Oryctolagus cuniculus: one gene and its partner. The protein of the gene in region 1 interacts with the protein of each later gene in a biochemical or structural test. Links are inferred from orthologs where the notes say so. Each region holds a gene or a part of one and is shown on either strand. Other genes may lie near its edges.

What was found.
Region 2: the proteins of TJP2 (region 1) and OCLN form a complex in vitro, tested with the Homo sapiens proteins (3 studies listed by BioGRID). The link is inferred for Oryctolagus cuniculus from reciprocal best matches to the Homo sapiens genes TJP2 and OCLN.

The regions. Positions count from the first base shown.
Region 1 is NC_091432.1:161,213,319-161,228,147, forward strand, and holds the start of TJP2 (tight junction protein ZO-2), read right to left. Parts: upstream 9,190-14,829; 5' UTR 9,166-9,189; coding exon 9,094-9,165; intron 2,979-9,093; coding exon 2,925-2,978; intron 1-2,924. UniProt on the Homo sapiens protein: Plays a role in tight junctions and adherens junctions. Acts as a positive regulator of RANKL-induced osteoclast differentiation, potentially via mediating downstream transcriptional activity.
Region 2 is NC_091445.1:90,425,767-90,440,695, forward strand, and holds the start of OCLN (occludin), read left to right. Parts: upstream 1-8,466; 5' UTR 8,467-8,610; intron 8,611-8,612; exon of another isoform or gene 8,613-8,752; intron 8,753-8,768; exon of another isoform or gene 8,769-8,908; intron 8,909-14,929. UniProt on the Homo sapiens protein: May play a role in the formation and regulation of the tight junction (TJ) paracellular permeability barrier.

The DNA of each region.
Region 1 (14,829 bases):
GATGACAAACGAAGATAAACTCACAACAGGCTGCACTGCTGTTTATTAATCACATGGCTTTCAATCTGGCAGAACCAACAGCTGGCGCCTGGTTCAGGACAGAGGCAGCTCCATCCTCTTTATCAAGCCAGAAAGTCTCTCACCATTGCCACTTTGGGATTCAGAACTCAAGGGCATCGAGAAGAGCCAGAAAGAGGAGAGGAGCTGAATTATGACACCTAAGCAGGCAAAGCCCTCAACGGAAAACAGTAAGCAGTGATCTGGGAGTGTGGGCCCGTGGACACTGTGACATTTCTTCCCACCTGGATAACTCAATAAACAGTTCATTCAGGAACCAAATTTTCATGGAAAACAGGGCAAGATTCTGAAGGTCAAAGGAAAACTCTCCACGAAGGAAACTGGCAGTCCCTCTAGGAAGGGAGAGAGGAAGCCCTGTAGGTCCCAGGAAAATCCGAGCAATGCTGACATGCAGACAGTGATGGAGTAAGAATTCAGAACCATGAATGTGTAACACGGATTTGCTACACACTGAATACAGACTGGGCTCCGTGGATGGAAGCTACATGGGTAATACTTCTGAATGCACTTGTTAAGCACAACAGATTTACATGGGCTATTACTTCTACTCTCAACCCCATGGAGGCAAAGACATTCAAAGGCATTTTTAACTTGACTGCCTCAACCCCTCTTCATATAACCAGGAACGGGACAAGAAATAGAACTGTTCTCCTGGTTCCTTTGCCAATATTTTCCAGTTAAGTTTGTACTTAACACTTACTGAGGGGTGCAGATGCATGTTTTAGCAGTTAAGATGCCACTTGGGACAGCTCCATCCCGTATCACAGTGCCTGGGCTGGAGCCTCAGCTCTGCTCCTGAATCTGGCTTCCTGCTGATGGGCATGCTGGGTGGCAGAAGCAATGGCTCAAGCAGCTGGGGTCCTGCCACCCATATGGGAGACCTGGATTGAGCTCCTGGCTCTTGGCTTTGCCTTGATCCAGCCCTGGCCATTGCAGGCGTTTGGGGAGTCAGCTAGTGGATGGGAGATATCCCTGTGTCTGTCTCTTTCTAACTTTCAAGTAAACCAATAAGATTTTTTTTTTTTTTGACAGGCAGAGTGGACAGTGAGAGAGAGAGAGAGAGACAGAGAGAAAGGTCTTCCTTTGCCGTTGGTTCACCCTCCAATGGCTGCCGTGGCCGGCGCGCTGTGGCTGGTGCGCCACAGCCGGCGCACCGCGCTGATCAGAAGGCAGGAGCCAGGGGCTTCTCCTGGTCTCCCATGCGGGTGCAGGGCCCAAGCACTTGGGCCATCCTCCACTGCACTCCCTGGCCACAGCAGAGAGCTGGCCTGGAAGGGGGGCAACCGGGACAGGATCCGGCGCCCCGACCGGGACTAGAACCCGGTGTGCCAGCGCCGCTAGGTGGAGGATTAGCCTATTGAGCCGCGGCGCCGGCCCCAATAAGAAATTTTTTTTTTTTTTTTTTTTTTTTTTTTTTGACAGGCAGAGTGGACAGTGAGAGAGAGAGACAGAGAGAGAAAGGTCTTCCTTTGCCGTTGGTTCACCCTCCAATGGCCGCCGCTGCAGCCGGCGCACCGCGCTGATCCTGGCAGGAGCCAGGAGCCAGGTGCTTTTCCTGGTCTCCCATGGGGTGCAGGGCCCAAGCACCTGGGCCATCCTCCACTGCACTCCCTGGCCATAGCAGAGAGCTGGCCTGGAAGAGGGGCAACCGGGACAGAATCCGGCGCCCCAACCGGGACTAGAACCCGGTGTGCCGGCGCCGCAAGGTGGAGGATTAGCCTATTGAGCCACGGCGCCGGCCCAATAAGAAATATTTTTAAAGAACTCACTGAGAGGGGCTGGTGCTGTGGCGCAGCGGGTTAAGCACAGCCTGCAGTGCCAGCATCCCATATGGGCGCTGGTTTGAGACCCAGCTGCTCCACTTCTGATCCAGCTCTCTGCTATGGCTTGGGAAAGCAGTGGAAGATGGCTTGAGTCCTTGGGCCCCTGCACCTGCGTGGGAGACCCAGAGGAAGCTCCTGGCTCCTGGCTTCAGACCAGCACAGCTCCAGCCATTGCGGCCAATTGGGGAGTGAACCAGTGGATGGAAGACTTCTCTCACTCGCTCTCTGCCTCTCCTTGTCTCTGTGTGACTCTGACTTTCAAATAAATAAATAAATCTTAAAAAAAAAAAAAAAAAACAACTCACTGAGAGCAATATAGGAATATGTGTTACAAGCAAAACTCTAGAAGTTATAAAGGCTACCTCAGTACAGGTCATTTTCATTTCTCCCTTTCTTTTCTCTTTTGTGTACCTGTTCAATCTGCAGACAGCGGAATACACTAAATAACCTCTAAAACGTTCTATAGTATACAGACTTCACTAAAAATATATAATAGAGGAGCTGGTGCTGTGGTGTAGTGGGTAAGTCACCACCTGCAGCACCAGTATCTCATTTGGGCACCTGTTTGAGTTCCAGCTATTCCACCTCCAATTCAGCTCTCTGCTAATGCATCTGAGAAAGCAGTGGAAGATGGCCCAAATCCTTGGGCCCCTGCACTCATGTGGGAGAACCAGAAGAAGCTCCTGGCTCCTGGCTCCCAAATGGCCCATCTCTGGCCATTGCGGCCATTTTGGGGAGTAAATCAGCAGATAGAAGACTCTCTCTCTCTCTGCCTCTGCCTCTCTATAACTCTAACTTTCAAGTAAATAAATAAATCTTACACACACACACACACACACACACAATAGCATGCAAATTTTTGTCAACCCAGTAGTGTCTGACAGCTGCTACCTACACCAGTAACGTATTACCTAACTGAAGGGGGAATAAACCAAAACTGCATATGGGCAAAAATGGTAAGATCTGTGATCCATAAAACCCAGAATGTGCCCATACAACCCATGAATCCCACACAGAACTCACCTTCTGTAGGGTCACGGTGTACTGTTCCCATATCAGCTCTTCCATGCCTGGGGCCTGTTTTAAAATAAACAAAACCAATCTGATTAAAACCACAAATGCCAGAAATGAAGCCAAAATTCAACATATCTCAATACAAAGTCCAGTTCACACTTTCTGCATGCCAAAAAGAGATGATATCTGTTTGGAAAGTTATGCTATCAACTTTCAAATGCACTCCCCCTTCAAGGCAATGGCAGTCTCAACAATGCCACTAGAAAATTTAGAGACATCACGGTGAGAGAGGGAACAACGTGCTAGGTGTTGAGCCCTTTGTTATCAGCATTCCAAAAACACTATCATCACAAAAATCCCTTTACAAACACCTGTGTTTCACGAGCAGGTGTTTGGCACAGCCAATGATGACACCAGCTGGGAGGCCAGCATCCCCCATGAGATGCCTGGGTTTGGACCTCAGCTCCACTTCCAATTCTAACTTTCTACTAGTGCATACCAAGGAGGGCTATTGGACTTGGTTCCTGCTACCCACCTGAGAGACCTGGATTGAGTTCTGGGTCCTAACTTTGGCCTAGCCCAGCCTTGGCTGCTGCAGGCATTTGGAGAGTAAACAAGCAGATAGCAGATTTCTCTCTCATCCCCTCATAAATTTTTAAAAATCTAATTTGAAAAACTGCTTTCTCATTTTTTGAACCCCTCTCCCCCTCCTTGTAAAAGGCAGTGTCCCAGGGAAGTTTCTGCACATCTGTGTCCAAGGACCTCCTTGGCCTCATCACAGTGCGCTCAGCTGGACAATCTGTGGTATTTTTGGCTTTTCCTCCATTTGTATGGCTGGATGTGAAGGATGAAAATGGCTCAAAAACTGGGCTTCTGTCTCCAACAATATTCCACAGTAGATGTTGACAAAAAACCCGACAAACAGTGCTGTCGTGATAAAAATTCTAATAATCCATTGAAGGCAAGCTGCCTTTCAGGGCTACATACACTAAGAAAGCTCAAAGCCTGGCATAAAGCATGATCCTGGGAGAAGGAGATGCAAACTGGGTGGAAGATTGGATCTGGGTGATCACTGAGCAGGAAAATGTACTGCCACATAGAAGGAGATGGCAGGACACTTGCCTGTCTCGTCCATGGCTCTACAACCATCCCTCCAAAGAACTTCTAGCAACAAACCTGCACACACACAGGTTTAGTGCTGAGATTCATGTCTGATGTGACCACACTTCCCCAAACACTCACACTCAAGGTGGTCCCGTGTGTTCATCGCCTACATAGAGGCAAATGGAAATCCTACCCAAAGAACACACAGAACCTAAACACAGGCTTCAAAGAACATCCCAGGTTAGCATCAAAGCAGCGTGCACAGACACAACCTGCTACAGTTTTAATAGGATATAGCTCCAAAACTTCTGCAGTTAAGTGCCCAAGTCACCAACTAATGGTATTAAGAGGGAGGAAAGTTAATCCAGTTAGGAGGTGGGCCTGGTGCGAAGGCCTGAGGCACAGGGCGTGGCTTTGAGAGGTGCTTCTCATGGGAGGGCAGGATATGAAAGGGAGGCTGGGCTGCAGATGCTTGCCCACCATCCTCTGCCCTCACCAGCAGCCTCACACCCATGGGCCCACCCTGTGTGCTGTGAACCCCAAAAACTGTGGGCCAAATAAACCTCCTTTCTTCATATATAGCTTATCAGATATTTTATTGTATGACAAAAAGTTGAGTAATTTAAAACCACTTTTAAGTTTTTTTTTTTTTTATTTGACAGGCAGAGTTATAGACAATGAGAGAGAGAGAGAGAGAGAGAGAGATCTTCCTTCCTTTGGTTCACCCCCAAAATGGCCGCTATGGCTGGAGCTGCACCAATCCGAAGCCAGGAGCCAGGTGCTTCCTCCTGGTCTCCCTTGTGGGTGCAGGAGCCTAAGCACTTGGGCCATCCTCCACTGCCTTCCTGGGCCATAGCAGAGAGCTGGACTGGAAGAGGAGCAACCGGGTCTAGAACCCGGCCACCCATATGGGATACCGGCGCTGCAGGCAGAGGGTTAACCAAGTGAGCCAAGGCGCCGGCCCCACTTTTAAGTTTTTAAACAGAAAACCAATGTAATATTCACTAAGGAGATAACTATACATATATAGAGATCTGTACTTAAAAAGTATGGTACAAGGGAGGAAATCAAGAAACAAAACTTCATTGTTTGTTCTTATTTTCACAAATCCATAATTACATAAGCACATTTGGAAAAGACTGGAAGGACACCAAAATGTATTAAATTTCCTAAGGAGTTGTGATATTACTGAGAATATTTTTGTATGAGGACATTACTATTTTTTAAAAATATTTATTTTATTTATTTTAAAGAGTTACAGAGAGAGGTAAAGACACAGAGGAGGGGGAAGAGGAGGGAGAGGGAGAGGCAGAGGCAGAGGCAGAGAGAGAGAGATCTTCCTTCTGCTGATTCACTCCCCAAATAGCTGAAATGGCCAGAGCTGAGCTGATTCAGAGCCAGGAGCTTCTTCTGGGTCTCCCACTTGGGGCAGAGGCCCAAGGACTTGGGTCATCCTCTGATGCTTTCCCAGGCACATTAGCAGGGAGCTGGATCAGAAGTAGAACAGCCGGGACATAAACTAGCACCCATATGGGATGATGGCATTGAAGGCAGGAGTTTTAAACTCTGCACCACAGTGCTGGTCCCAAAGACATTACTTTTAAAACACATTTTTATTTTAAAAATAAAAGTACAAACTATCTTTTTAAATTATTAGATTTAAAATAGATCATTGACACACACACACACACACCCAAAATAAAGGGTTGCTACAAAATTTTATTTAAAAGTTTCCAGGTAGAATGAATCTGGCTTTTGAAATTCAGGTTCTTCCTTAATGAGTGAACACTCTCTGTAAGCACTACTGTATGACTTAAAGAGCAACTTAAACTAGATTTGTCAAGAGCAGGCGTTGTGGTGCAGCAGGTTAAGCTGCTGCTTGGGATACTGCATTCCAAGTCAGAATCCCTTGGATCAAATCCTACCTCTGTTTCTGATCCCAGTTTCCTGCTAAGGAGCACCCTGGGAAGTAGCAGGTGTTGGTTCAAGGACTTGGGTTACTGCCACCCACATGGGAGACCCAAAGGAGTTCCAGGCTTCTGGCTTTGGCCTGGCCCAGGCCCAGCTGTTCCAGGCATTTGTAGAGCACATCAGAAGACGGAAGATTCATATCCTCTCTCAAAGTTGATTTGTCATAGACAGGATCAACATTTTACCATTATCACCATCAATAGAGCGGAATCAAAATTTCAAATGGTCAGATCTGGCCATTAACTTGCCTAGTTATCTAAAACCTCAGATACCAGATAGGAAACTGATTAGAATCTAAGAAGCCTCTCTTCTCACTCACAGTTAACAGGTTAAGACATTAACCAGAATATTACAAGGAAACTTACTGTGCTAAACTAAATGGAAAATCTAAAATCTTAAAGGTGTAGGGATTGGGTAAAAAGCAATTTTTTTATTATTTTTTATTTATTTATTTGACAGATAGAGTTAGACAGTGAGAGAGAGAGACAGAGAGAAAGGTCTTCCTTCTGTTGGTTCACCCCCCAAATGGCTGCTACAGCCGGCATGTTGTGCCAATCTGAAGCCAGGAGCCAAGTGCTTCCTCCTGGTCTCCCATGTGGGTGCAGGGCCCAAGCGCTTGGGCCATCCTCCACTGCCTTCCTGGGGCACAGCAGAGAGCTGGACTGGAAGAGGAGCAACAGGGACTAGAACACGGCGCCCATATGGGATGCCAGTGTCGCAGGCGGAGGATTAACCTACTGAGCCACGGCGCCGGCCCCAGGTAAAAAGCAATTTTATCAGCACTTTGAACATTAAAAATGTATCCTTAGCATGTATATTTAGCACACAGAGCTGTGCATTTTTGCAACAATCTCACCACCATTCATTCAAAACTATTAACCGAGCATCCCATATGTGCCAAGCACGCAGTCTGTGGCACTCTGGATACACAACAGAACACAGCAGCCAGAGCCCTTGTGGAGTTCTCCAGCTAGCCACAGTGCCCAGAAAACAAACCAGCGTGTCTGCCTTGCCAAGTTTCTCCAGTACCTTTTCGGAAGCACAGGGCACCCCACGCTATCACCCATATTCCTCAGAGTGTGAGCTCTGCGTACACACCCGCGGGCAGGAGGCAGCGTGAGTCAGCTCGGCTGAGACCTGAGCTGAGGCCGCTCCAACTGGGCCACCAGGCTCTGGCCCCACCCATGGTGCTGGGCTGTGGGAGCCTCAGACCTGCTGCTGACACATGGACTGTGCATGAATGCCAGCGGGTGGCTGCTGAGGGTGTGGGAAGCCTTCCAGGGAGGGCCACGCATCCAGCAGCTGGAGGAAACGCGGAGACATGTGCACATCACGTGCACGTAGGATACCTGGCTACAGCAGGCACCGCGGCCATGTTCTCAAAGGCCACAATTGGGAAACCAAATATCTACCAAGGGCAGAACAAACAGCAAGAAAAATACAAAGTTGCACTGCCATGAAAACAAACCAACCACAGCCACATACACTCAGAAGCACAACAGGGCACAGGACATATCTCTAATAAAATGTGGACTGAAAAACATGCCGAGGGATTGGTTCATGCGGTATCATTTTTAAAGAGTTAAAGAGGCAAACAACATTTTACAACAATGTGAACACATTTAACACTACTCAAATGAAAACTTTAAAGGGGTTAAGATGGTAGATTTTGTGTTATGTGCTTTGTGTGTGTGTGTGTGTGTGTGTGTGTGTAGTAAAACTACACCATCAAAGTAGGGGATGAAAGGCACAAAATTCAGGACAAAGTGGCCAGGGCAGGCTGCAGAGGGCGAGGCAGGGAGTGACACATAGGGTCGTGTGTTCTGTCTCGGTGAGGTCCATGGGATGTGGGTTGAGCTCATGGTATTTAATCAACACTGCGTCACTCAATACTGAACTCTTTTACAGGCATCAGATTCCTTAAGTTACAAGAACAGCAAAGCGAGTGAGAGGAGCATCCAGCAGTCCCTGGTTCCCAGACAGGGACCCAATACCAAATGGTCATCTAATACTGATTTTGCAGTTCCGATTTCGCAAAGTGACAGGGCAGAACAGAGATGGCAAAGTGGGGGTGGCACCAGCTCGGGGAGACAAAGAAAGGCAAGCGTGGTGCGCAGGCATGGAGATGCCGGGGCGGGGGGCAGTGCAGAGGGTGCAGGTGCTGAAGGCTCCAAGTCATCTTTTCCACCTGAGGGTCAACATGCTGCCCACCAGGAGGGTCCTCTGCACGCTCCTCATCACTTCTCCTTATCGTTCCTACTTCTCCATCCCCGCCCAGACAGGACAAGCCCTCCTGGATCCCCTGGAAGGCTGACTTTTGTACCACAAATAAAGTCTGTGTGATCAGGTATTTGTGTGAATAAAAGGAGAGAGAGGGACTTGGACAAGTAGTTATTTGATTTGTTTCCTATTAAAGAAAACATCCTCTACTTTTCATTAAAACTTCTTTCCTATGGAAAACCTTGGCCAACTGGATTTTTAAACATCACATATATTTCACATAAGAACTCAGAAATGTGTTTTACAGAAAGAGCAGTCACAACTCAGATACAAATATCCTCAATGTCTCCTAAACAGGCCACTTTCAGGTTTTCTGTTCACTAAAACTGCTGCTTCCGAAGATGGAGATCACAGCTGAAAACCAAGTTTAATATAAAGCCACCCACAGGGACACACTCCATAGAACCCCCAAGCTCCTCAGCGGCACACGTGATACAGATGCCACAGGCTCCAAGCACACAGGAACACAAGGGACACATGGAAAACAACTTCTCTGATCTTTGAGACAACCGGACAAAGGGAGTTCAAACAGCACGTATTTCTGCAGAGCAAGAAGACAACACTGTTTTACCCCAAATGAGAAACCCTCAAATGCAAACAATCGTACATTAAGCCACATGTAGGAAGCGAAAACCATGCCAGCAGATTCCCAACGTCAGAAAACAGCAGCTCTGCAGCACAAGCCCAGAGAATGGCTGTCAGCAACCCACCGCTGCCCACACCCCACGGTCTGCAGAGCCCAAGTCAGCCCGAGCATAAAGGAGCCACTGTGAGAGCGGCTCCTCTCCCCCAGGAGAGAGGGGGAGAGTGCCCCGCAACTCACATGGCCTTTCAGTCTCCCACAGCTCTTCACAGCCTGGATCCACATCCTGTGTAGCACCCGAGCAGCCTTCATGGCCTCCTGGGAGCCGGCCTGGCCGCCGCCTACCTCGCAGGCTGCTCACCCATGGCCATGCCTCCACGTGGTTACATAAGGCGGATACAATAGTGCCCCACATTCGCGGCAAATCCTGTTGTCATCTCACACAGTGCCGCATCCAGACGGCAGAGCTGCTGCGCGCGTTGTAAAGCCCCACTTGTGAGGTCAGAAGAGAAGGCGGCCCCTCTCCCACGCGAGGAACCAGCGTGTGCCAGGAGATACTTCTCCTAGCCATAGGAGATGGCCGTGTATCAGCAGAGAAGATTAAGCAGAGTCGGCACTCCGTGTGCCCTCTGTACCCAGAGCCTCTGCGACGGCAGGTGCAGCCAAGCACAGAGGGAGAGCATTCCCCAAAACTGTGCCTGTACAGAACATGCACGGACTTCTTTCTCAGCACCCCTCCCTCAACAAGACAGTGCAACAACGATGCATCGAGCACTGCCACTGCTCTGTGTTACGATCATCTAGACGTGGCTCAAAGCATCCAAGAGGACGTGTGTAGATACGCGTAGACCATGCCAGCCTATCCAAGGGGCTTGAGCGTGCACAGCCTGTGGTTCCAAGGGGGCAGGGGCAGGGGGTCCTAGACCAATACCTGACAGACACTGAGGAATAACTGTACATGAGACCTTTAAAATAATATTAATATTCTCTGAATATTCAGAGAACTGACACAGATCATCTCATATACAAAGCACAAGCCAGCTGGGAAAGAACTGGTAATGATACATAGAAGTACGAGGCACCAAGAGAAAATGTTCTCCAATCCTGGAGATAACCAGGGGAAGATAAGAGTGGGCAGCGGTCCAGGACAGAGTGCTTGCTCAGCAAAGTTCTCTCCTCTTTCTAACCTTTCTATAAACTTCACAGATAACAGAACAACAAACAGGCTGCCTTCTGTTTGTCTCTCTGCCTTAGGGAGGGATGGAAATGCAAATGGAAAGATTCTGGACATCTAGAAATGCCTGCTGGGATGGCAGGAGCTTGGAAGCTGGAGCTCCGATTTCAGATACAAGGTCCTGGGGAGCTCCTGGTCATTCTTGCTCCCACAGGGCAGGGACACACCATGCACCACACCAAGCAGGTGGCAGAAGAAGGGTGTGAGCCACTGGGGGTTGAGAGGGCGATGGATATAAAGGTGGAGCACAAGGTCAAGACCACACAGGAAGCAACTTGATTGAAACCGAAGCAAAGTCCTCAAGGTGCAACCCTTGCTCTGCCACTCAACTGTGGGGCCCTGGAGCCTCTGCTGCTTCCTCGTCAAAGTGACCTGGAACCATGTGCACCTCAGAGGCCCCGGGTCAGCAAGAAATGAGGCAACCTCTAAGCAGAGCTCATGCTGCTCCTGCCCTTCCCCGGAATTCTATGAGAACAAATTCTTGGTACAGCTCTTCACTAAGCGTTCTAATGGCTCGGAAAAGGAACACTGTATTGTGCTCCAAATCTGAACTTGAGAGGGCAGGACCCCTAGTAGCTGAGTGGGTGCCTCGACACGAGCTGTGCAGGCATCTGCAGGATCCATGTGCCCAGGCAGGCTCAGCCCAAGGAGCTGGCTCACTGGGCTCAGCGGCAAAGCAGCATGGATTACAAGGCAGCTGGGGGCCAGCACACTGCTTTGCCAGGCCTCAGGAAACTGACCCATTTCTTGCACTTCATGCATACTGCCCAGAAGCCAGACATGTCCCAGCATTTGAGTTCTAGATTCGTCCATGGTGATTTTGGAAGATGTCAGTTTCTGGCAACACTAATTTTGTTTATCAAATGGTACTCAAACATGTAACACAGGGGTCAGCATTGTGGTGCAGCGGGTTAAGCTGCCATTTACGATACATCCCATACAGGAGCACAGGTTCAAGCTCTGGCTGCTCCACTCCTGATCCAGCTCCCTATGAATGTGCCTGGGAAAGCAGCGCAAGATGAACCAAGCACTTAGGCCCCTGCACCCAGGTGGGAGACCCAGAAGAAGCCCCTGGCTCCTGGCTTTGGCCTGGCCTAGCCCAGGCCATCACAGCCATTTGGGGAGTGAACCAGTAAATGGAAGATCTCTCTCTTCTATCTAACCCTGCCTTTCAAATAAATAATACATCTTTCTAAAAATGAATAAAACCTTTAAACACACATACATATAACACAACATAAACTACCTTAACCACTCCTAACTACCCACAGTGCCTGTCCTGATGATCTGTAAATTTCACAATGGTATCCAAGTGACACACATTAAGAGAAGACACACCCAGAGCCGGGTCTCTTCCCAGGCTACCAGCATGCAGTACAACGCCCTGTGGTAGCAGCAGGTGAGACCCCCACAGCCAACAGAAGAAACCACCAAGGCTCCACAGGGTGCTGGGGCTGAGCTAAGTGGTTCAGAGGTGAGGGGCACCAAATGCAGGTTAGACTTTCATTGGGTTGATTGGGATGCGACCCTATCACAAGCTGAGGAGCACCTGCACACAGTCCCCTACTTCCTATGGTTTGAATGGGCAGAGCCCCTTAAACTCAGGGTACAAAGACACCCCCTGTGACAGCAGTAAGAGGTGGGCCTCGGGCCAGTGCTGTGGCAAAGCAGGTTAAGCCACCGTCTGCTGCACTGGCATTCCACATGGGTGCTGGTTCGAGTCCTGGCTGCTCTACTCCAGACCCAGCTCCCTGGTAATCCACCTGAGTAAACAGCAGAACATGGCCTAAGTGCTTGGGTCCCTGTACCCACGTGGGAGGCATGGAGGAAGCTCTAGCTCCTGGCTTTGGCCTAGCCCAGCTCCAGCTGTTGCAGGCATTTGGAGAGTGAACCAGCCGATGGGAGATCTCTCTCTGCACTCCTCATCCCATTCCTCCTTCCCTCCCTGTCACTCTGCCTTTCATAGAAACTTTAAAAGAAAAATAGCAGGAAGCACACAGGACCTGTGATGTGTGGACAGTGTTGCAGGTGGCAGGGACCCTCAGGGAGGGCTGTGAGAGGAAGCACAGTGAATAAGTAAACCCATAATCTCAGATGCCAATAAAGACCATGGGATGTGAGGTTAGAAAAAAATGAATCCCAAGAAAATCTAAATAGCTCTCCTGGGAGAGGCAACGGCAAGTGCCCAGACCCTCAGGCGGGAAACAAGCTTAGGGTGTTCATGGGAGAAACACAGCCATGCAGGGCTGTGGCAGGGTGAGTGATGGAGCAACAGCAAGGGCCTAAGAAACTGACAGCACAGGCAACAGTTACAACAAGGCGGCAGGAGGCCTGGGGCAGAGGGAGGCGCTCTCTCCCACTGGAGTGCTGCGGAGTTCAAGGATGAAGGATGGCTGACGTGAGGTAGGAGGGCACCCTACACAGAGGGAGAAGTCCATTCAGAGCCTGAGGGATAACCTTGCAAGGTGTGTTCAGGACACTGCCGGGCTCAGCCGTCACTGGGGAGTGGACTGTTCCACAAAACACTCGTGCTCTTATATCCTCAGCACAGACAGATGTGTCAGAACCCTTAATCCACGGCTTGGAAGCTTTACGACACACATGTGCGCACACACGCCCTGGACGCAGGGGAGGTGGGTAGGAGAACGGGAAATTAAAGGATCACTCAGCTCCAGGAGGGTGCCATGCCCACAACCCTGTGAGTTAGCTGGACTGTGCCCATTTTACAGACAGTGAGCCAGGGCCAGGGGTGGGAGTGGGGTTACCCAGCTCACCACTGTCAGAGATGGGATTTGCAGCTGGGGTCTGACTCCAGATCTGGATCCTTTTCTACACGAGGTTTGATGTGTGCTTCCCGCACACCGACCCCTGACTGCCAGAGGACTAGTTTGCACTAGGACTAGGTGCCTGCATCTCACACAGGAATGCCTGGGTTTGGTTTCTGACTCTGTTCAGAGTCCAGTGTTCTGGAAGGCAGCAGATGATGGCTAGGCCATCTGTGAGTGTAGCAGACCTGTCCAGGGTTCCTGGCTCCTGGCTGTAGCCTGGCCCAGTCCTGGCCATTGCAGGCATTTGGGGGAATAAACAGCAGATGGGAGCTCGCTTTCTCTCTCTCTTTCTCTGTGCCCCCCCCCCATCTATTTCTGCCTATTAAACAAAAATAAAGTAAAACCTTCCTGGGGCCAGCGCTGTGGCACAGTGGGTAGAGCCACCTCCTGCAGTGCCGGCATCCCATATGGGCGCCAGTTCTAGTCCCGGCTGCTCCACTTCCGATCCAGCTCTCTGCTATGGCCTGGGAAAGCAGTAGAGGATGGCCCAAGTGCTTGGGCCCCTGCACCCGCATGGGAGACCTGGAAGAAGCTCCTGGCTCCTGGCTTCAGATCAGCGCAGCTCCGGCTGTTGTGGCCTATTGGGGAGTGAACCAGCGGATGGAAGACCTCTCTCTCTCTCTCTCTCTGCCTCTGCCTCTGCCTCTCTGTGTAACTCTTTCAAATAAAAATAAATAAATCTTAAAATAAAAATAAAACCTTTCTGTCTCTCCCTTTCTCTCTGTGGCTCTGCCTCTCAAACAGATAAACATAAATCATAAAAACACACATACACACAAACCACGAGGAATGTGACAAACATCCTGTGATTCCATTTACATAAAAGGTCCAGAGGATACAAAGTCAGAGGTGGAAAGCAGATTCCTGGTTGCCTGAGACTCCTGGGAGAATGAGGAGTGACCGCCAGTGGGGATGGGCTTCCTCCAGGGGTGGGAGGTGCTATGGCACAGGGGTCCGGACGCCACTGAGGACACCTGCATCCACATCAGATTGTCTGGGTTGAGTCCCCTCCCTGCTTCTCTACCTTCCTGCTCACGCACCCCTGGGAGGCAGCAGGTGATGACCCAAGTGGCTAAGTGCCTGCCAGCCAAATGGGAGCCCTGGATCTTGTGGGCATTCGTGGAGTGAACCACGAGATGGAAGATGTCCATCTGTCTCTCTGTTGCTCTGTTTTGTAAATAAATAAAAAATTAACAAAACTTTAATAAAATCCATTTGTAGGTTCTAAAATTGCAGCGATGGCTGCACAACTCTGAACATATTAAAAACTACCAACTGCATGTCTTTATTATATACTATGTGAATTACATCCCAATAAAGCTTTCTTCTTTTAAACACTCCATCACAAACTCTGTGGTCACAAAGCAAGGATTCAAGCCTGTGGGCCAGCACTCACCTGGGCGAGCTACTTCCCCGCTCACTGCCTGGGTTTCCTGCATCTGCAGAGCAGAGGCAGCATCAAGACCTACTTCTCCGGGACTCACTTCTATGAGCTTTAAGCAGACCACACATGCAGAGAACCAAGGTGCACAGTAACCACACAGGCAACATCAGCCATCGCCAGTATCATCACCGTCAAGCTCGTTTCACAGAAAGCACACTGAAGCCGGAGAAGCAATGGAACACAGAGGAGGCCACGGGGGCGCGAAGTGGCAGGGGACACTGCATCCTCTCCACTGAAGAAAACTGCCAGTTCCACTCTATGCAGACACTTCACAGAGTTCATGGAAAAACTGGTTTAAAAGATAAGTTCAGGGGGCTGGTGCTGTTGGGCAGCGGGTTAAAGCCCTGGCCTGAAGCGCCGGCATCCCATACGGGCACCGGTTCAAGTCCCAGCTGCTCCTCTTTCAATTCAGCTCTCTGCTATTGCCTGGGATAGCAGTGGAAGATGGCCCAAGTCCTTGGGCCCCTGCA
Region 2 (14,929 bases), on another chromosome or scaffold:
CAGAAAAAGCTCCTGGCTCCCGGCTTTGGATCGGCGCAACTCTGGCCATTGCGGCCAATTGGGGGTGAATCATCGGATGGAAGACCTCTCTCTCTGCCTCTCCTCTCTCTAACTCTGACTTTCAAATAAATAAGATAAATCTTTTTAAAAAATCAGCAGACGGAACGTTGCTGGGGAATAAGGTGGTTACACTGAATCAAAGTGTCCATTACCGCCAGGAATATCTATTAATTACAAAGAGAAAAGAGAGGGGCCGGCGCCATGGCTCACTTGGTTAATCCTCCGCCTGCCGTGCAGGTATACCAAATAGGGGCTGGGTTCTAGTCTCGGTTGCTCCTCTCCCAGTCCAGCTCTCTGCTGTGGCCCGGGAGGGCAGTGGAGGATGGCCTGAGTGCTTGGGGCCCTGCACCCGCATGGGAGACCAGGAGGAAGCACCTGGCTCCTGCCTTGGGATCTACGTAGCTCCAGCCGTAGCAGCCATTTGGGGGTGAACCAACGGATAAAAAATAAAATAAAAGAGAAAAGAGAGATGAAGGGGCCACTTTAACCAAGCAAGGGACTTAGACACCTTGGTCATCTTCAGCTATTTTTCTCAGGCCATTAGCAAGGAGCTAGGTCAGAAATGGAGTAGCTGGGACTGGAATGCTGATGTTGTAGGCAGTGGCTTTACCTGCTATGCCACAATGCCGGCCCCAACCCCGATTCCTTGTTTCTCTTCAGAGGCATAGTTACAGACAGACAGAGGGAGAGACAGAGAAAAGGAGAGCTCTTCCACCCGCTGGTTCACTCCCCAAATGGCTGCAATGGCTGGAGCTCCGCTGACCCGAAGCCAGGAGCAGGGAGCTTTTTCTGGGTTTCCCACATGGGTGCAGGGACCCAAGCACTTAGGCCATCTTCTACTGCTTTCCCAGGCCATTATCAGGGAGCTGGATTAGAAATGGAGCAGCCAGAACTTGAACCTGTGCCCATACAGGATGCTAGCATAGCAGGCAGAAGCTTAACCTGCTACAGCAGAGCGCGGGCCACCAACTCCTTGCTTATTACTGCTGAAATGTTTAAGGCAAAGTGACTTCATATCTAACAATTATTTTTTTAAAGTAACAAAAAAGTATAAATGTTAGAATATAAATGGTGGAGCAAATAAATACTATGTATACATTTCTTACATGTCCCTGTGTATGTGTGTACATGTGAGAATGTGGACATTGTCAACAATTAATTAATTTGGGTGAAGGATATAGTCACAGCTTTATTTTCTCAACTTTTCTAGAGGTTTGAATTTTCACATAAAAAGAAAAACAATTAAAAGTTTTTCCTGTCAGGAATAAGACACACTTGTTTATTGGGACCTTTTAGAAAATATAGGAAAAGTAAATACACGTGATTATGGCAGAGCCTCTCCCGTGCCCTCCCTCTCTGGCCCTGCCTGTGTCTGCCGCTGCAGGCACAAAGGCCCACCTGTCTCATTAAGATTCACGTAGGAGGATGAACGCGAGTCTCTGGATCCTATCAGCTGGTTTCAGATCACGCTGGCTCTCTTTCTCAAGTTTAATTCTTTCTGTTCAATAGCTACATATTTCAAAGATCAAATGTCCATGCATTACCAAATAATTACTTAAAATAGAGAACAATACTTAGGTTGCCACTCAAAATTCCACATAATTCACAATGAAAACCACCAATCTGACTTGCTTACACCCCTTCAAAGCCATCCTGGGGCAGTTAGAAGAAAACACCCATACGTGTGCACAACATGCAAAGATCTTCCCTCTGCCTTCGTCAGGCCTCATCTCTCACTCTCTCCTGTCTTCTGGCTTCCTCCGCCTTGACTCTCCAAAATGGTGCTGGACCTGGCCTTCCCGTGCTCAGAGCTCCCTGTGGCTGGCTCATCTCATCACTAAGGCCTCAGCTCAGATGTCGCCTTGTCCCGGCAGCCAACTGCTGCTCCTCCACCTGCCTCTCCTGGCTGGGCCGGCTCTATCCTTTTTTTTTTTTTTTTTTTTTTTTTGACAGAGTGGACAGTGAGAGAGAGAAACAGAGAGAAAGGTCTTCCTTTGCCGTTGGTTCACCCTCCAATGCCCGCTGCGGCCGGCGCACCGCGCTGATCCGAAGGCGGGAGCCAGGTGCTTCCCCTGGTCTCCCATGGGGTGCAGGGCCCAAGCACCTGGGCCATCCTCCACTGTACTCCCTGGCCACAGCAGAGAGCTGGCCTGGAAGAGGAGCAATCAGGACAGAACCAGCGCTCCAACCGGGACTAGAACCTGGTGTGCCGGCACCGCAGGCGGAGGATCAGCCTATTGAGTCGTGGCGCCGGCTGTTTTTGTTCTTGAAACTCACTCACCACCATCTGAAAGTCTCTTGCTCATCTGCAGGTTAGTCATCCTTGCATTTCTTCTGCCAACTAGAGCACAGCCTGCCACAGGGACCCTGTCTGTCTTAAGTCCACTGAAATCCGGGGGCTCAGAACAAGGTTGGTATACCTTGGTACTAAGTCCATATTTTTTTGACTGAACAAATATTCCTTTGCATGTACGGTTCCCATACCTGGCACTCAGACCACACCCTGTGTCAATATGCATCCACAGAATAGGAGCCCTAGACAGTCACCCTTTGTAGATACCTCCGGATGCCACCAAGGAACTCCAAACAAAATCAGAAAAGCCTCCACATCGAAGCCCTCGGCATGAGTAAAAGAAGGCTGTCCCTAGAACCAACAGAATGATGAGAAATGTGTGATCCGCCCGAGGTGGATCAGTTTTACATCTGATCAGTTCAAATGATTTTCCTAGAGTTCAGATCAAGGTTAGGATGATCACTTTGTAAAGTCTGGGGACCCAGGAGGTTAAAGAGCCCCAGGAAGTTAAAATTAGACATGGGAACACAGTATTTGGTCAATGTTTACTTTTTTTCTCTTTCCTCTCTGGAATTTACAAGATTCAAGAAGACCAGTTCTTGAGAATGGCCGCAAGACCCATTTTCCACTGCAAATGGATGACTGATAAGTTTTTAAAAAAAATTTAAGGGGCCAGCACTGTGGCGTAGTGGGTTAAGCCTCTGCCTATGGCAGCTCGGGCATCCTATATGGGCGTCAGTTCGTGTTCCAGCTACTCCACTTCCAATCCAGCTTCCTGCTAATGCACTTGGGAAAACAGCAGAAGGTGGCCCAAGTGCTTTGGCCCCTGCACCCACGTGGGAGACCAGCATGAAGCTCCTGGCTCCTTGCTTCAGATCAGCACGGCTCTGGCCGTTATAGCCATTTGGGAACTGAACCAGTGAATGGAAGACTTTGCTCTCTGTCTCTCCCTCTCTGTTTGTAACTCTACCTCTCAAATAAATAAATAAATCTAAAAAAAGATTTATAAAAAATTTTAAAATATTTATTTATTCTTAAAGTCTGAGTTACAGAGAGAGGGAAAGGTGGAGAGAGAGAGATCTTCCATCTGCTGGTTCACTCCCCAAGATGGCTGCAACAGCCCTTGCTGGGTTAGGCTGAAGCCAGGAGCCAGAGTCTCCCGTATGGGTGCAGGGGCCCAAGCACTTGGGCCACCTTCTGCTGCTTTCCCAGGCACATTAGCAGGCAGCTGGATAGGAAGTGGAGCAGCTGGGACATGAACTGAAGCCCAGAGGGGATGCTGGGGTTGCAGGCTGCGGCTTTACACACTAAGCCACAATAAAGGCCCGACCAGTGCAGTTTTAAAGATAAAACAGATTTTCTTCCAATCTGTAGGGAAATGTCCTGCCCTGCTGCATATGATTGGTAAACTGAATTTCAGGCCAATTACCTAGAGTAAGGCCACAGAAAGGAAAAGAAAAGAAAAACCATCCCCAGATCTCTTTCTCTGCATCATCCATTGCGACAATATTCTGGCCCATACCAGATCTCTCTCTCCGCAGATGATGGTACCAAACCTACTCTGATCCAATGAAGTTACGGTTACTTTCTGTGGGTATTTGAGGAATGTTATTCACAAAACAACACACCTGGGCTGGCGCCGCGGCTCACTAGGCTAATCCTCTGCCTTGCGGCGCCGGCACACCGGGTTCTAGTCCCAGTCAGGGCGCCTGATTCTGTCCCGGTTGCCCTCTTCCAGGCCAGCTCTCTGCTGTGGCCCGGGAGTGCAGTGGAGGATGGCCCAAGTGCTTGGGCCTTGCACCCCATGGGAGACCAGGAGAAGCACCTGGCTCCTGCCATCGGATCAGCACGGTGCGCCAGCCGCAGCAGCCATTGGAGGGTGAACCAACAGCAAAGGAAGACCTTTCTCTCTGTCTCTCTCTCACTGTCCACTCTGCCTGTCAAAAAAAAAAAAAAAAAAAAAAACCAAACACACAAAACAACACACCTGGACTTAGGTCAGTAACCACCTTCCAATCAGGTCTCTAAATTCTATCCTTAAAAATATTTTGTATTATAAAATAAAAAATTCCCACAAAAATTTATGACATATATACACAGTTTAATACAGTATTATAAGGACTGGTACTGCAGTGTAGTGGTAGAGCCACCACCTGTGGGGCAGGCATCCCATATGGGCGCTGGTTTGAGTCCTGGCTGCTCCACTTCTAATCCAGTTCCCTGATAATGCAGGAGAAGATGGCCTAAATCCTTGGGCCCCTGCACCCGCATGGAAACCCGGAAGAAACTCCTGTCTCCTGGCTTCGGATCAACCCAGTTCCAGCTGGTGCAGCCATTTGGGGAGTGAACCAGTGGATGGAAGACTTCTCTCTCTCTCTGACTCTGCCTCTCTGTAACTCTGTTTTTCAAATAAATTAATTAATTGTTTTTTAAAAAACCACAGTATTAGCAAGTCACCTGAAGTACAGTGAAGCTGTTGGGAACACGAGTGCAGGAACCACATGACCTGGGTGTGAATCCTGTCTATCACCAAGCAGATAACCTGAGTAAATGATCAACCCTTTCTGAGCTGTAGTTTTCCAATGCATAACATGGAGAAAAGAACAGTACATCATATGGTTTCTGCAAAGGCAAAAATAACAAAAAATCAAAAGCTCATGAAACACACAGCACAGCACCTGGCACACGCCTTTCTCTGAGTAAGGAAGGTTGTTACTATTAATTATTATTTCAGTTGTTGAAGTTCCTGTTCAGCTGTCGATTCTCTTTGTTCCACCTTGGATTCCTCCTGGAAGGATCTTGCTTCCTGCACAGGAAATGAGGAGACAGAGGTTCACTCCCTCACGTAATCGTCCTCTTAGAAATTGCCTTCCTGCTCACTTCCCCATAGATCCTCCCACTTATCCAAGGAAACTGTGCTCTGTGGAGGAGGGAGCCTCCCCCGTGGTGGGGTGGGGAAACAGGGTGCCCTCAGCAACTCCAAACTGAATTGCTCTTGAACAAATACCAAACATTGGATTCATCCACTAAGCAGGTGCAGCAGAGTGGAAATATTTTAATCTCTCTTCTTTTCTTCTCTAAGCCCTAGTTCTCCAGATGTAAGTCTTGAAATGCTACCAAGGAATGTGTTGGTTTCACAGTGTTGGCTGCCTGAGAGATGGCTAAGACTGCAGACAAGTGGGGCTAGGAGAATCAGGGTTAGATTCACCGACACACTCACTCAAGCAATATTTCTGGAAAACTTGTGTCTCGGGGACTATTCCCGGCCGATGGGACACAGCAATGACTTGCTAAACATTTACTGAGACTTGTTTTATGGCCCAGCGTGCAGTCTGCCTTGGAGAATGTCCCACGAGCCTACCAACTACCTTGTATGGTACTATTTATTATCATCCTGGATGTGCAGTGGAGAAAAATTAGACTATATAATTTCCAGCTACTAATTGGCAATGCAGACTTGAATGCAGATTTCTGACAGTATAATCTGAGCAGAACCTTCTCCTTTACATATAATAAGGAAGAGAAAACCATTTTTAGTTTTATCATCCATTTGACTGCAGGTAAAATCAACAAATTTCTAATCATAGGTCTTCTGAGAATAATATTTACTTGTTTCTGAGTCATGGGGATGCTAATCAAATAGTAGTCAATAGTGAGTTGCCAAGAAGCAATACTTGGTAAAAATATAGTTAATTTTTGCTACAATTTATGATTATGTGACATGATGAAATTGAGTATAGTCCTTTACCCCCAATAATAAAGTTTGTTTTGCTGTCGAAGATATGTTTAAGTTTTAAGGTTGGATTTTTTTTCTAGATACTTTCAACTACTACCTAATGTGTACAGAATGAGTATTAGGCAATAGGTCAAACCACACTAGTTTTTGGATCTTTCACTGTTGTGAGTATAGTTTGGAAAACTAATCTGAACTAAATATAAATGGTATAAAACATTTCCCAGAAATTTAATTTAGTATTGAGTTAAACCATATGAAGTTGACATTTTTGCAATTAAAAAATGATCAACTATTGCCAGTTTCATGTAGTTCAACTTAACAAATCCTACTATCCCTATGCATGGGCTCAGCAATACCTAGGAAGTCAGTTTCAGGGCAGGTGTTTGGCACAGAGGTGAGGACAGCACCTAAGATGCCTGCGTCCCACAGCCGAGTGCTGGGTTCACCCCCTGGCCCTGGCCCTGCCCCTGAATCCAGCTTCCCACTAATGCAGACCCTGGGAGGAAGCACACCACCCACATTGAATTCCTGGTTCCTGGCTTCATGGCTGTCCACTGAGGGCATTTGGGGAATGCCAGCAGATGGAAACTCTCTCTCTGCCTCTCAAATAAATATGTAAAAAATAATAAAACCCTACACAAAAGAATTCAAAAGAAATCCACACAAAAACTTACACATGAACGTTTCTAAATCTCTATCAACTGATGAGTGGATTAAATGAAATGTGGAACAGCCATACACAGGAGTGTTACTCAGTCATAAAAAGGAATGGGGTGTTGGTACCTGCTTCAGCACACATGAATCTTGAAAACAGCATGTGAAATAAAAGAAGCCAGCCACAAAGGCTACACCCACTGACCCTCTGGATCCATGCATTCAACCAACTCTGGATGCAAACCATTTGGGAAAAATAGTTCAGTCTATACTGAACAGGTACAGACATTTTTCCTCATCATTAGACCCTAAATATAGTACAACCACTGTTTACACAACACTTATATTGATGACACAGTGTAAGGGAGATACACACAGGTTATATGCAAATAATAGGATGTTTTATGTAAGGGACTTGATCCTCTCAGATTTTGGTGTTCTTGGACACCAAGGGATGACTGTCTTCTGTTATCTACTCGTATAAAATGTCCAGCTTGGGCAAATCAATAGAGACAGGAAGACAGAAGCTGGGGAGAGGGAAGTGGAGAGTGCGGCTCCTGGGTCTGGGGTGAGGGAAATGTGAAATCAACCTCGTGAGTGTTTCAAAAATCACTGACTTGAATGCACACTTGGAAAGGATTCATTTGATGTTGTGTGGAATACATTTCTTTTCCAAAAATAGAAAGAAATTCGGAGGATCACCTCTTTGCTGTACTCTATTGTTAGGGACTGTCAAGATACATTGTAAAGTAAAAGACACGTGTTTACAAACCTCGGGAGCATTAGGAAATGTTCCCTTGTTTAATTATAAACCGACTGGAATGTTCGGAGATTTCAGTAATCTGGCATTGAACATTAAGAGGATTAACTTGACTTCCCCAGTGTTACCAATACTAATTTAAACGGCATCACTCAAAAACTACAAACACCCTGCAAGGATGACTTCCACGAAAAAAAAAAATACCAATTAGATTAATTACCTATTAAGGCTGTCATCATTTAAAACACCTTATGCTATATTTACAAGCTTTTACTTCCTTCAGTATTGAATTGTGCCTTAAGATCTAATATTCGGGAGCGTCACAGCTCTAACCACTTATTAAAGGCTCAGGGGTGGGCGGGATTGGACAGAGACTCATCGGCAAGGCTGGCATCCCAGGAATAGAGTCAGGCTTCAAGAAACCTAAATTCTCGCTTTCAAGGCAGACCCGTGGTAAGAACTAAAACGACCACATCCCAGGGTACAATTTTGCTAAAAAGTCGAAATGCAACACTGTCGCAGACATAGACCGTAGGCGGTCAATCACAGACCAAGAAATAATAGAAATCTATTCTCTTAGTTACCAGACTAAGGTTTTTTTTGTTTTGTTTTGCTTTTTCTCTTTGTCTTTTAAGCCAAAGAGACTACCGAAAACAGTTGAAAAGCCGCTCAGAGCCGCCTGCCAATCATAGAGTCTCATTCGGGGGTGGAGGTGGGGTTGAGGACCCGGCCCCCGGCCGTTACTCTGAGCGACGGGCTTTTCCCGAAAGTGCTCCTAAACCATCGCGCCTTCCCAAAGTGTCTCCCGGGGTCTGCGGTTGGAGGAACGCCTCCGGGTCGCTTTCTCCCGACCACCGCTCAGAGGGGAGGAAGGCGTGCGAGGACGAGCAGCCCCGCACGCCTCCCTCCGCCTCGCCCCGCCAGCTCCCGCCGTGCGCCAGCCCCGGGGGGCTGCACCGCCTCCCCCGGCCTCCCGGGAGCCCGGGCCGCCGCGGCCGAAACGCGGTGCGGTTCCTTTAACGGAGCGCGCCCGCGGGGTGTGCGGGGCAGGGCTGGGTCCTCCGCCTGCCGCTGCCCGCTCCCCTCCCCCGCCCGGGCGAGTTTCAGGTGAATGGGTCACCGGGGGAGGAGGCCGCCGCACCACACCTCTCGCGAGCGCCCGCCTCCCCTGGCCGCCCGGGTCGCGCGCAGGCAGGCGGCTGGAGTCCGGGCAGCGGCGGCCGGAGCGCGGGGGACGCGGCGGCGGCAGGTGGGACTCGCGAGGGCCTCTCGCGCCCCTGGCCGGGCGCGGGTGCGCATGCCCGGGGCAGGGCGGCCGGGGCCGGGCGGAGGCCGAGGGCTGGGTCCCCAGCGCAGTCCCGGGCTGCCCGCCGGCGGCCCGCGCGGCCTCAGGTGCGCCAGCCAGGTGAGCGCGCTCCTCGGCTCCTGCGGCCCCCGGGTGGGGGGCGGTGAGTGGGTGAGAGTTGGGCGCGGCGCCAGGGCCGCAGGGGGCCCCGAGGGTCCCCGCTGGGCGGCAGAGGCGGCGCCGGGGAGGACGCTCAGCGCTGGTTTCGGTGGCGGTTTCGCCCGGGGGCTGCGGGACCGTGCAGGGAGCAGCGCCTGGCGCTGGGGGAGGCTGCGTGCCCGGGCCGCGGGGGCCCAGCTTTGTTCGACCCAAGCGCTGCAAGTGACCAGGGTCCGGGCGGCGCGGGTAGCTTTTCTGTTTTAGGGGGGCGGGAGGTGTAAGGACTGCGCGCTAGGCTCTACAGGTCTTTTTTTTCTTTTCTTTCTTTCTTTCTTTCTTTTTTTTTCTTTTTTTTTTTTTTTTGAGTGGGGGTGGTCCTAGGCACAGGGGCGCGGCGCCGGCTGCAAGGTCCTAGGCCAGGGGGTGGGGGCCAGAGGTCACTGGCCGGCCGGGGCGGCTTTGGCCGCACCCCACCCCCTTGGGCGTCCAGGCGAGGGGTGGCCGGTTTGCTCCGGGTCAGAATTCCTGGAGTCGCGCCGTGAACCACCCTGGCCTTTCGAAGCCACTCCGTGAGAGTTGTTTGAACCCGCGTCGATTTAAGCCAGGGGCGGAGAGTGAGTTTCGAGTGAGGCTGGACTTCTAGGGAAGCGGCTCACGCCTCGGGTCCTCACCCGTGACCGAAAGGCCACCGCCAGGTGGGCGGACCTGCCTGCGGCCGAGCCTGCCCGAGCGCCGCGGAGCGCGCGGCCGGGGACCCACGGTCGCCGCCCGACCGGCCAGTGTGGGAGCCAAAATGGCCTCTGCGCCCTGGGGCTGGGAGCCCCTCCGAGTCCCTGGCGTCTTTGTGGAGCGCCGGAGCCCGAGGGGGAAGCCCCGGGGCTGGGCGGGCTGCAGGCCGCTTTCCAGGTTCTGCACAACAGGTGCATTATTGGGATCCTGGGAAAACAGGAGCTCTTCCCACGAGGGTGATTCGGGTGACGTGCTGAGGTTGAAACCTGGTTCTTTCTAGGTGGAGGTAGGTTTCTCAGACTTCTCGCAGGTGCAGCAGTTGTTATTTTGCAGGGTACCTGTGTTTTGTACTACTGGTGTTTTTAAAAGATATTTTAAATGGTGGAGCCACACCTATAGATATCTCCTTAGGCAAAATAACACTCAGTTAAAAAAGTTTGCGTTTATTTAGTTGTTAGGTGTTTGTTCCGTGGAGAGGGGGTGTAGTGACATGGGTAACACAGGCTATGCACCTGCCAGCAGGTTCTTTACCTGGCTGTTTAGGGAAGTAATGGGCAGTGCCTTCTCTACCCAAGGCAGGTCCTGTTGGACCTGCATTTTAAGGTGGCTACCGGCTTGCAGGGGAAGGATGGAACATGGGCTGGCTGGAAAGCTTCACCTGACCTGGGAAGGTGTGTCGGATGCCTCAGTGCTTGATAGTCCAGCATCAGAGTAGACTTGGCGAGCTTTCCTGAGGTTCTCTGCCATTGACCAGTCCCTGTGGCCTTGCCCGACGTAAAGGTGGAATTCCTCATTTTCTCCTGAAGATAACGTGGGAATTGCTGGTGTCTTTTCAATGAGGCAGTTCTGTGTCACCGCGTGAGTAGACGGGTACATCTTTCACCTCTGAGGAGCTTCACAGAAGGAAGTTTTCATTGATTGCATTAAAATAAGAGGTTTATTTATTTATTTATTTGAAAGGCAGAGTTACAGAGAAAGAGGAAGAGACAGAGAGCGAGAGCGAGCGATCTTCCATTCGCTGGTTCACTCCTCAGATGACTGCAAAGGCCAGAGCTGGGCCGATAGTAGCCAGGAGCTTCTTCCAGGTCTCCCACGTGGGTGCAGGGGCCCAAGGACTTGGGCCATCTTCCCTTGCTTCCCCAGGTGCACTAGCAGGGAGCTAGATCTGAAATGCAGCAGCGGGGACTCTAACCGGCACTCATATGGGATGCCAGAGTTGCAGGCGGCGGCTTTAGCCGCTATGCCACAGTGCCAGCCCCCCAGTTTCTTCCCCCCACTTATTTGAGAGGCAGAGAGCCCATGCACAAGCGCTCTCATCTGCTGATTCATTCCCAAATGCTCACAGTGGGCAGGGGGCCACAGTCGTAGCCCAGAGCTGGAGTACAACCCCAGGTCTCCCACTGGGATGGCAGGAGCCCAGTCATAGGTGTGTCACAGGTACCTCCCAGGACGCCCACCAGCTGGAAGCTCAAGTTAGGAGTTGGAGTTTAGAATTAAACCCAGGCACTCAGATGCGTGTTGTGGGCATCTTAACTGCTCTAACCTATACTTTTAAAAGGCAAATTGACTCTTGCTGCGTGTGATGTAAAAGGAACAGACTCCCCATAAACACAGTAAGGTTACCTGTTCACTTGTTGACAGTTTTCCTTAAGGAATAAGGTGAGAGCAAAGCATTTTCAGACTCTTTCCCAGCTCAGCTTATGTTTCTTTTTTAAAAAAAAAATTTTTTTTTTATTTGACAGGTAGAGTTATAGACAGTGAGAGAGAGATAGAAAGGTCTTCCTTCTGTTGATTCACTCCACAAATGGCCACTACAGCCGGCGCTGCGCCGATCTGAAGCCAGGAACCAGGTGCTTCTTCCTGGTCTCCCATGCGGGTGCAGGGGCCCAAGGCCTTGGGCCATCTTCCACTGCTTTCCCAGGCCACAGCAGAGAGCTGGATAGGAAGTGGAGCAACTGGGACTTGAACCCGTGTCCATATTAGAATTAAACCCAGGATGCTAGCACTGCAGGTGGTGGCTTTACCCACTATGCCACAGTGCTGGCTCCGAAAATGCACTTTTTAAAAACAGCTCCTGGCTCCTGGCTTCACATCGGCTAAGCTCAGCTCCGGCCGTTGCGGCCATTTGGGGAGTGAACCAGCAGATGGAAGATCTCTCTCTCTCTCTCTCTCTCTTTCCCCCTCTCTGCCCCTCTCCGTGTAACTGTGACTTTTAAGTAAAATAAATAAATCTTAAAAAAAAAGCTAACTCCAATACATTAAAAAAAAAAAAAAAAAAACACAGCTGCACTGTGGCTGGTGCTGTGTTTAGCTGCCTCCTACTGTGCCGGAATCCCATGTGGATGCTGGTTTGCATCTTAGTTGCTCCACTTCCCATCCAGCTTCCTGCTAATGCACCTGGAGAAGCGCAAGTCCTTGGGCCCCTGAACCATGTGGTGTAGCCATCTGGGGGGTGAAGCAGCAGATGGAAGATCTCTCTCTCTCTCTCTCTCTCTCTCTCTCTCTGTAACTCTACCTTTCAAATAAATAAAATTTTTTTTTAAATAGAACACCATAAAGCACCTGCACTGAAAACACCAGGTCTCCTTTATTCTGCACTTAAGCTCTTGATTTTTAAAATTAAGTTTACATTTTAATTTTTTAGAAGATTTTATTTGAAAGGAAGAGAGAGGGAGAGAGAGGGAGAGATCTTCCATCTGCTGCTTCACTTCCTAAATGGCTGCTGTGGTCCAGGCTGAAGCCAGGAACCAAGAACTTCATCCTAGTCTTCCATGTGGGTGACAGGGACCCAGGTACTTGGGCCATCTTTTGCTGCCTTGCGAGGCACATTAGCAGGAAGCCTGATCAGAAGCAGAGCCAGCTGCTCCATATGGGATGCCAGTGTCTCAGGCAGCAGCTTAACCTGCTGAGCCATAGCACCAGCCCCCAAGTTTGCATTTTTGGAATGCTTACTTGGCTGATATTCAGCAGGCCAAAGTATGCGGGACAAGCAGGATTGGTTAGCACCAGTTTATTGGAAGGTTGTTTCACTTTGCAGAGGAAGGGCTGCAAGGGGTGTGTCTCAGGGAGCAGCTGAGCAAAGAGGAGCATGTGCTGGAATGTTCTGGGCCTTTGCCTGCCTGAGCTAGAGGTAGGGACGGACGGTGGTGTCTTGCAGGTGTTGTGGTAGTGTGTACTAGCCAGGCAGGAAGCTCGCTGGGTAGGGGTGCGGGCACTTGCTTGGGGAATTCTCCAGAATCACCAGGTGTGAGGACTTTTCTTTTTTAAAAGATTTATTTAATTTATTTGAAAGGCACAGTTATGGAGGTGTCGGGGGAGATACAGAACGATCTTCATCTGCTGCTTCACTCCCCAAATAGCTGCGCCAGTTAGGGCTGGGCCAGACCGAAATGAGGAACCAAGAGCTTCTTCTGGGTCTCCCATAAGGGTGGCACTTGGGCCATCCTCCCCTGCTTTTCCAGGTGCACTAGCAGGGAGCTGGATTGGAAGCAGAGCAGCTGGGACTGGAACTGATGCTCATATGGGAGACCCGCTGTGCCACAGTGCTGGCCTGCAAAGTTTCTGTACAAGGCCTCAGAGAAAAAGAAATGGCTGAGTGTGTGTGTGTGTGTGTGTGTGTGTAGGGAGTCCTTTTCCCTAACATTCCCTCCTCTTGTTATTTGGTGAATATTCTGGTGGATGGGGTGAAGGTCAGTTCCTGCTGAACGGGCTGGCTGCAGGGCTGCCCCTACCAGGAGAAAGGGAAGCTGGGAGCACCTAGTGGTCACGGGTGCCTTGGAGTGACACCTCCCGAGTTTGTTGTCGCCTTTGTAAAGCTTCCCTGAGAGCCTGGACCTGCCCTTGGATGAAGAAGGGTAGAATTTAGGAGACAGGGAGGGACCCTGGAGGAATAGAGGAAGGTTGTTATAGGACCCAGAAAGGGAGCTGGCCAGGAGGACCACCCTCAGCCATTGGTCTTGGAACTCCGTTGGTCAAAACTCCCCTGCCAGCCATGTTTAGAAAAGTTTATGGTGTTTTTGATCATGGTTTTTTTTTTTTTTTTTTTTTTTTTTTTTTTTTTTTTTTGACAGGCAGAGTGGACAGTGAGAGAGAGAGACAGAGAGAAAGGTCTTCCTTTGCCGTTGGTTCACCCTCCAATGGCCGCCGCGGCCGGCGCGCTGCAGCTGGCACACCGCGCTGATCCGATGGCAGGAGCCAGGAGCCAGGTGCTTTTCCTGGTCTCCCATGGGGTGCAGGGCCCAAGCACCTGGGCCATCCTCCACTGCACTCCCTGGCCACAGCAGAGGGCTGGCCTGGAAGAGGGGCAACCAGGACAGAATCCGGCGCCCCGACCGGGACTAGAACCCGGTGTGCCGGCGCCGCTAGGCGGAGGATTAGCCTAGTGAGCCGCGGCGCCGGCCTGATCATGTTTTTTAGGTCGATATATACCTTACTGGACTGATGACCGAAACAGTAGCCTTTTTTCCTCTCTGCATGGCCTAAGTTCCCCCTTGATTAGCAGAGGATGTGAAGTGCTTGACTGCTCTATACCATCACGCCAGCCAGGAAGGTGAGCGCTTCCTGCACAGGGTCAGCTTCAGCTCTCAGGGCAGCAGTTTGTTGGCTCAGCTCGCGTGAGACCTGCCTGGCTGCAGATGTGGCCTGGAGGGGTCCGCCCGAATGGATGGCTGTGGCAGCTAGGACAGGTAGGATCGTGGAGTCCGTGAGCGAAGTGGAATGGGATGCTGTCACTGATTAGTGAGAGCTTGGGCATGAGTAAGCAGGCGTGCAGGTCCCAGGCCAGCTGGCCGGCAGGCATAGGTGGGTACTGGTTCCGCAGACAAAGTCCGGGCTGTGGGCGGGCTCTAAATATGGATCAAGACTGAAATAGGCTTAGACAGGAAGGAAGTGGAAGTGTCGGTCCCTTCATTAGGTAGAGGTAAGGGTCGTCCCAGCTAACGGGGTAAGCAGATCGCTGTGTGAGGCAGGCTTGAGGAGCTGTGTGCCCGTGTGAAGGGGAGAATGGTGGGATTTCACCCAGGCCCTCAGAGGAATGTAAACTCTTGTAGTCCTTTTGCTTTGTGAGGCTGGCCAGTGGGGCTGGGGGTCTGTGGGCCCCTTCAGACAGAGGTGGATGTCCTTCACAAGCGGGCTGCCCGCTGTGGCTGGAAAGCCTGTCTCCATACCAACCGGCATCTCCCCGATGCTAGCTTCTTGTGCTGCACTTGTGACCTTGCAGCCTTAAGTCACCTTCAGGGTGGGTGCAGTCTTTCA